2 linked regions of the Callithrix jacchus genome follow. The protein of the gene in region 2 interacts with the protein of the main gene of each other region in a pairwise test. Links are inferred from orthologs where the notes say so. Each region holds a gene or a part of one and is shown on either strand. Other genes may lie near its edges. The genes, in order: USO1 and XPO7.

Evidence for each region.
Region 1: the proteins of XPO7 (region 2) and USO1 interact in binary tests that used the Homo sapiens proteins (3 or more experiments, as listed by UniProt). The two-hybrid records come from large-scale screens. The link is inferred for Callithrix jacchus from reciprocal best matches to the Homo sapiens genes XPO7 and USO1.

What each region holds. Positions count from the first base shown.
Region 1 is NC_133504.1:122,331,823-122,335,648, reverse strand, and holds the end of USO1 (general vesicular transport factor p115), read left to right. Parts: intron 1-1,388; coding exon 1,389-1,604; intron 1,605-2,424; coding exon 2,425-2,514; 3' UTR 2,515-3,429; downstream 3,430-3,826. UniProt on the Homo sapiens protein: General vesicular transport factor required for intercisternal transport in the Golgi stack; it is required for transcytotic fusion and/or subsequent binding of the vesicles to the target membrane.
Region 2 is NC_133514.1:19,495,927-19,499,752, reverse strand, and holds part of XPO7 (exportin-7), read left to right. Parts: intron 1-265; coding exon 266-348; intron 349-602; coding exon 603-817; intron 818-1,045; coding exon 1,046-1,184; intron 1,185-2,306; exon of another isoform or gene 2,307-2,531; coding exon 2,532-2,692; exon of another isoform or gene 2,693-2,881; intron 2,882-3,237; exon of another isoform or gene 3,238-3,371; intron 3,372-3,826.

The sequences.
Region 1 (3,826 bases), on a different chromosome or scaffold from region 2:
TTCTCTCCTACATTGATGATTTAACACGGCAAAAATGAAGTTTTTTGTTTTTGTTTTTGAGACAGAGGCTTGCTCAGTCATCAGGCTGGAGTGCAGTGGCACGATCACAGCTCACTGCAACCTCCACCTCCCGTGTTCAAGTGATTCTCTGCCTCAGCCTTCTCAGTATCTGGGACTACAGGTGTGCACCACCACACCCACATAATTTTTGTATTTTCAGTAGAGATAGGGTTTCACCATGTTGGCCAGGATGGTCTCGATCTCTTGACCTTATGATCTGCCCACCTTGGCCTCCCAAAGTGCTGGGATTACAGGCGTAAGCCACCACACCTGGCCACAAATGAAGTTTTTAAAATACTGTTTCAAATAATACTGAATATGTAAGATAAGCATGTATATGCATGTACTATAAAAGTAAAATTTGTTGAAAATATTTGTGTTTTATTTTATTTTATTTTATTTATTTTTGAGAAGAGTCTCGCTCTTGTCGCCCAGGCTGGAGTGCAATGGAGCGATCTTGGCTCACTGCAACCTCAGCCTCCTGAGTAGCTGGGACTACAGGCGCCCACCACCATGCCTAGCTAATTTTTGTACTTTTAGTAGAGATAGGGTTTCACCATGTTGGCCAGGCTGGTCTTGAACTCAACCCTCAGATGATACCCACCTTGGCCTCCCAAAGACGTGAGCCACTGCACCTGGCCTGTGTTTTCTTTTTTAAGATCAATATCTAATCACAATAACAAAACAAGCAGTACAAATTTCGCTAATACACAAGCCGCATGTAGGCTTTCCATAAGCTGTGGAACATAGGCACGTTAAACCCTGCCAGCATATTATTGTGTGACAGAGACATCAGAATAAATAGGAAGAAAGAAATGAGATTACATTAGTGAAAATAAGGAAAATAATGTATAATTGTGCTTTTTGTGGCCAAATTATTTTATTTTTAAACCATAGATTTTATTTGAAGCTATTTTCTTTTATTTTAATTGTATGCTTGAAGTTGGGATAAAAAATATTTTTTTAACTTGAGCTTTGAGTTCTAAAATTCTGGTGTTAATTAGACTTGTGCTGTAAAATGCTTTGTGTTTCTGTTTACTCCTTCGATTAACTGAAATTATAATGCTTTTTTTGTATCTCTAAAGGTTTTTTTGAGGAATAGCTAACTAAAACTATTTTTTGGATGTTAAACTTATTTTTTTGCAGTAACCGTTTTTGATGAACAGTCTAAAAAATTCTCATGTTACTCCTGTACCCTTAACCCCCACCCCTAAATTCTTTAGGTTGAGCAAGTACAGTGATTTGTCATAGAAAAAAACTATTTGTTAAAAACTCTAGTAAAGTGAGTGCTAATTTTAGATTCCTGCCTTTCACCTTTCTTTTCCTAGAATGAAATTAAAGCTCTGTCTGAGGAAAGAACTGCCATTAAAGAGCAGCTGGATTCATCTAATAGTACCATTGCCATTTTACAAACTGAGAAAGACAAACTAGAGTTGGAAATTACAGATTCTAAAAAAGAACAGGATGATCTCTTGGTGCTCTTGGCCGATCAAGACCAGAAAATACTGTCATTGAAGAATAAACTCAAGGATCTTGGTCATCCAGTAAGATTAAAATGTCTTCAAAAATGATTTGTATTATGTTTTAATGTAATGCATTTGAAAGATTTTTAATGTAACATGGAAAAGTTGTGCTATATTATAGGAATGGATATGTGGGTTCATGAATATGGTATCATCTACACTGTGTTCGCTGTGTTCATTGAATTTACTTAAGACACACATTAGCTTAAGTTTTCAGTACTTATAAACTATTTTCTTTTGGACCTTGAGCCTAGAAAGTGAATTTATTTGATTGTTCATGCAGTAACAAGACTGTTGTCACCCAAGTGTGTCATTATCTTTTGTCATGTTTGGTTCAGATTTGTGTGTAAAGTAGTATAGCCATTTATCAGAAAAGCTAACTGATAATATCTCATTCATATTAGAAATGACAGCCTTGGGCATTAGATCAAAGAAATCAGATGGTATATTCTACTGTAGTTACAAAATTTGTCCAGGTGCAGTACTCACACCTGTAATCCCAGCACTTTGGGAGGCTGAGACAGGCAGATTGCCTGAGATCAGGTGTTCGAGACCAGCCTGGCCAACATGGTGAAACCTTATCTCTACTAAAAATACAAAAATTAGCAGGGCTTGGTGGTGGGTACCTGTAATCCCAGCTACTCAGGAGGCTGAGGCAGGAGAATCCCTGGAACCTGGTAGGCAGAGGTTGCAGTGAGCTGAGATCATGCCATTGCACTCCAGCCTGGGCAACAAGATCAAGACTCTGTCTCAAAATAATAATAATAATAATATATATTGTTAAATGTTGAATGTGACATGAACAAATTTTCACAATATTAAATGAGTCTTTTTCCTCTAGGTTGAAGAAGAGGATGAACTTGAATCTGGAGACCAAGAGGATGAGGATGATGAAAGTGAAGATCCTGGCAAGGACCTAGATCGTATCTAGCTTTAAAATCTCTAGGAACAATAGAGATTATATCATAACTTTGAAGATGGAATCTAAACTTTGGTTTACCTCCACAGAAAATAAAAGATTTAGAAACCAAGTGGAAAACATTCACTATTAAGACTATTGATATATTTTTGTAATGTTGCCACCCATGTTGAAAACCTTAAAACTAAATTTATGTAGAACACACATCTTTTATTTAAATCTATCTTAACTGTCCCAATGTATAATTTTCAAAGAGCTTCAGACACCAAAAATATACCATTTTAAGACATGTGGTGGCAATGCTATTTGCCTTAGTTCATTGGTTGTTAACTTTTCAAAATTTGTGACTTTTAACTGCTAACACATTTGATTTAATATGTTGAATTGGAATTATTATTTCTAAATTCAGCATTTGAGTTTAGTTGATGATTTTCTTTTGAAGAAATTAGTTTATTTAAAAGCAAGATCGCCTGGCCTGGGGGTTAGTGCATATCAGCCCTCCATCTAATGTGATATCTAAGATGTGCAGTATAGAACAGTTTAGAATGAGTGCCTTGCCACCTACATATGGCTGCATTCCGTACCTCAGCGAAGAAGCCGAAGGATGCTGACACAGTGATGTGGAGGGCATTGCTGAGAAACTTTTGCAACAGTGTATTAATGTGATTGGTTTTCTTTTTGTTTTAAGCTAAACATCTAAAACAAATTTCAAGTTAACAGTTCATACAACTCAGATTTAGTATTATTGTTTATCATAAAACATATTATGTTCCTAGTTTTAAAAGTACCCAAACTATGATTTATATAATTTATTGGCATTTTTGCTGACTAGGTTTAAGTCAGATAATAGATTTTAAAAAAGCAAATGAAGCAGTGTGTCAAAATTTAATGTTTCATAATAAAAAATAGATACGTTCACTTACTTAATCCTTGGTCACAGTTCCCTTTTTTTACATCTTAAGAAAAGTATTTTCGTATATTTTTTTTAATACTTTAAGTTCTGGGGTACATGTGTAGAACGTGCAGGTTTGTTACATAGGTATACACATGCTTTGGTGGTTTGCTACATCCATTGCGCCATCATCTACATTAAGTATTTCTCCTAATGCTATCCCTCCCCTGTCCCCTCACCCCCGTAAAGTATTTTATTCTTAATAAAAGACGAGGTAAGTGAAAATGGTGAAGAGACTTCTCTTATTAGGGTATACAGCTATAACTGAATGTTAAAAACAATCTTTAAAACCAATGATTAGGATTCCCTAAATTTGGAGAGGGTTAGTTAGAGCAACTACAGAAGTAGAAGAGGTTAGAAAAGGGTTTGGAT
Region 2 (3,826 bases):
TTTTAAGACAGTAATTTTATCTGCTGCCTTTTTTTCTTTTAAATGTTTTTAATTTGAGCAGCAGAATCTGAATCTAGCATGTTGGTCTTCAAGATAGAAGCGACATTATTGGTTAAATATCTATAACTTGGTTATTCTCATATTAGAATAGGCAAGCTACTTATTTTAATGTAAATGCAGGATCACCCAAGGTATGAGAGCCTCAAGTACCCTAGTCTTCCAAAAAAACAGTTTGACTTTTTCTCTTTCTGTGCTCTCTGCTCAGATCCCAGCGACTCCAGTTTGATGTCTCTTCCCCCAATGGCATCTTACTCTTCCGAGAAACCAGCAAGATGATAACAATGTATGGTAAGTGCTTCAGAGAATCATGCCTCTCGAAGTTAATTCCAGCTCAGTCACCACACTGTAAGCAGAATGTGTCTCTCCGGCCAGCCCTGGCAAGAGCCAGGACGGCATTCCTGTCATATGCTAATACAGGTGCATTAGAGTGCCACCTGTCACCAGGGGCCTGCTGGAATGTAGTATGCCTTTGGAGTAGGAAGGCTGATATAAATGAGCACTTCTAATGTAGTTGAATAAACATATATGACATGTCTACTCAGGCAATCGAATCCTGACACTAGGAGAGGTCCCAAAGGATCAGGTCTATGCTCTGAAGCTCAAGGGCATCTCCATCTGCTTCTCCATGCTGAAGGCTGCTCTCAGTGGGAGTTACGTCAATTTCGGAGTCTTTCGTCTCTATGGAGACGATGCCCTGGACAATGCTTTGCAGACCTTCATCAAGCTGCTCCTCTCTATTCCCCACAGTGATCTCTTGGTAAGCCTTACGCTGCATTGCCAGAATCTTGTTCCTCATCACATTTAGCCTTTTTCACCTGAGACCATGATGGAACATTGCTCTTGAAAAACTATATAAGCTAGCTCTTTTCTGCTATAACTAAGTCTTTTGTTTTCCCAACTGAAAAGAGGATCTATTTAAGATCGTCTCCCTGCATGCTGGAGTGCATAGTGCCTAAGCTGATTTTTTTCCTCCTCTCTCCCACAGGATTACCCCAAGCTCAGCCAGTCTTACTATTCACTACTGGAAGTCCTGACCCAGGACCATATGAACTTTATTGCAAGCCTGGAACCTCATGTCATCATGTATATTCTCTCTTCCATTTCTGAAGGACTTACTGCTCTTGGTAAGCACGTGGGTGGGGTGGGTAAGTTGGTGGGTTTTTTTTGTTTTGTTTTGTTTTTTTTAACCACTTAACAGAAAGGGAGAAGCTTTAGAGATGAGCAGGAGCAAATCTGGAGATCATGAAGGGGGCCCATAAGCCGTATTAGGCTATTTGAACTCTGTCCTGAGGGCCGTGGAAGCTGGGGAAAGGTTTCACACAGCTAGCGCCATAAGTTTTTTCTTCCTAGTCCATCTGGTTCCTGTCAACCAATTTGTTTATAGGTAATAGGTGTATGTAATAGGTAAATGTGTTTTGTAATAGGTATATGTGTTCGGAGAATAAAACAGATTTTTATATTAGGCTGAGCAAAACCTAAGTAGGAGGATTAAGTCAGCTGCCAAATAGTGATGATATATTGCAAATACACATAGACTGACTTGTGGATTATCAACTGTGGTGAATTATCCATGCCTCTGTGCCACTTTGATACACACTCACTTCCATTTCCACTATTCCATCAGGGTGCACAGCCATATGTAGTACAGTCCAGTCAAGGTATCAGTCCTTGCTTTGGAAGACTGTTGCCTTATTGAAAATAGAGGGACCTTTGCATAAACCATCAGTCCCGTAGGAATCAGAATTGCTTACTCGTTTAAGCGTTCATCCCTTAGTTCTTTGGGCTCACCTCATCAGAGTTCTGTTCACAGGTTGTGCTGTACTGTTCCCTTTGTAAAGATGCATAGATGAGTCTGCAGCTCCCTCCAGAGATGTGCGGGAGATAAACACATAATACAGCACAGCCCACTCTAACAAACCATAAACATTCATAGGCTACATCAATCTTGGTTTCATGACATCCTGCAGGTAACTCAGAGCATAGGCTCCTACCCCAGGCTTCTTGGATTCCAGTCACAGCTTTTGCAGTTACTAGCAGTTGATCCTTAGGCCAATGCATAACCTTTCCAAATTCTGGTTTCCTCGTGTGTAAAACAAAACCTACTTCGTGGAGTTCTTGAGAGGCTAAATTAGATAACAACACCTATAAAGTACTTAGAACAATATCTGGCACCACAGAAGCACTTGCTGAACTAAACTGTTTGTCATTTTGTGTGCAGCAGAAGATGTACATCAGCAACACATTGAGACAGTAATTTCGGTATTCTTTATTTATATATATTACCAATACTCACTTTCAAACTTGGAAATTGAGCCCAGCTATACAATGAGGGTAAGAGGTTAACAAGGAGTCTTGACCAATGGCCTTGGCTGAATTGGCCACTGGACCCTAGTGGATCTCAGCCAAAGATAGTCCATATTTGCCCAGGTCATCTGCAGCAGCTGTCCTACTCCTACCTTTCTTTCTTGCAGACACCATGGTATGCACAGGCTGCTGCTCCTGCCTGGACCACATAGTGACATACCTCTTCAAGCAGCTGTCACGTAGCACCAAGAAGAGGACCACACCCCTGAACCAGGAGAGCGACCGCTTTCTGCACATCATGCAGCAGCATCCAGAGATGATCCAGCAGGTAAGAAAGTGGAGGCTTAGGAGGCAGTGATGGAGTGTCCGACAGAGGAAGGACCTCTGCAAGACAGGGGAGGCCACACATGATTAACCTAACATCTCATCAGGTTCCTGCTGCTGAGATGAAGTTTGTTTCTTCAAGTTGCAGTGGAGTTTGAGTTTGCCAAGTAATCAATCCCTGGATATAGAAAATCTGAAAAAAAAAAAAATCAGGTTCTGGATTATTATTCTGTCACAGCAACCCCTGTGCCTATCTCATGAGCACTATCCTCTTTTCTGTGAAAATTACTTTGCTCACCCACTGCAATAAATAGAGCAAGAGTTAGCAGCAGCCGGCTTTCTAAAGGCCTGTGCTCTTGTTTACAAAACAGGAACGTAAATGTAAGACAGAAGGAAATAACTGGCCACAGAGAGATCAACTATATGCTTGCCCTTATTTTATTTGTATGCAATGAAAATAAAACTTGAAATAACTTACAGAAATACATACTAGATAAAAATAGGTAAGGAAATGGGATCACTAACTATTGAGATTTTAGCCAATCTTACCTTTGTCCACACTGTTCTCTAAAGAAGCAGTGACATAGCCAGGTGTGTAATCCCAGTATTTTGGGAGGCCAAGATGGGTGGATCACGAGGTCAGCAGATCAAGACTATCCTAACACAGTGAAGCCTCATCTCTACTAAAAATATAAAAAATTAGCTGAGCATGGTGGCACGGGCCTGTAACGTCAGCTATTCAGGAGGCTGAGGCGAGAGAATTGCTGGAACCCAGGAGACAGAAGTTGCAGTGAGCCAAAATTGCACCACTGCACTCCAGCCTGGGCGACAGAGTGAGGCTCCATCTTAAAAAAAAAAAAAAAAAAAAAAGTGAGGGGCAGTGAAATATCATTATTTATCCACAAACTATCATTAAACTATCAACTCCAGGTACCTGGAAGGGATCATGCAGGTTGGTTTTGCCTAGTGTAATTTTGTTTATGTGACCCCATCCTATTCCCCACAAGTCAGGGTGAACTGGAAAGATCCATTTGTAAGTGAAATTATCAAACCAATTTTAAGAACAGGAAAGGAAATGAATATCTTAGAAGAAAAGGTTATCTTGAAATAGAAGACTCAGATGAAGCTTCACAAACTA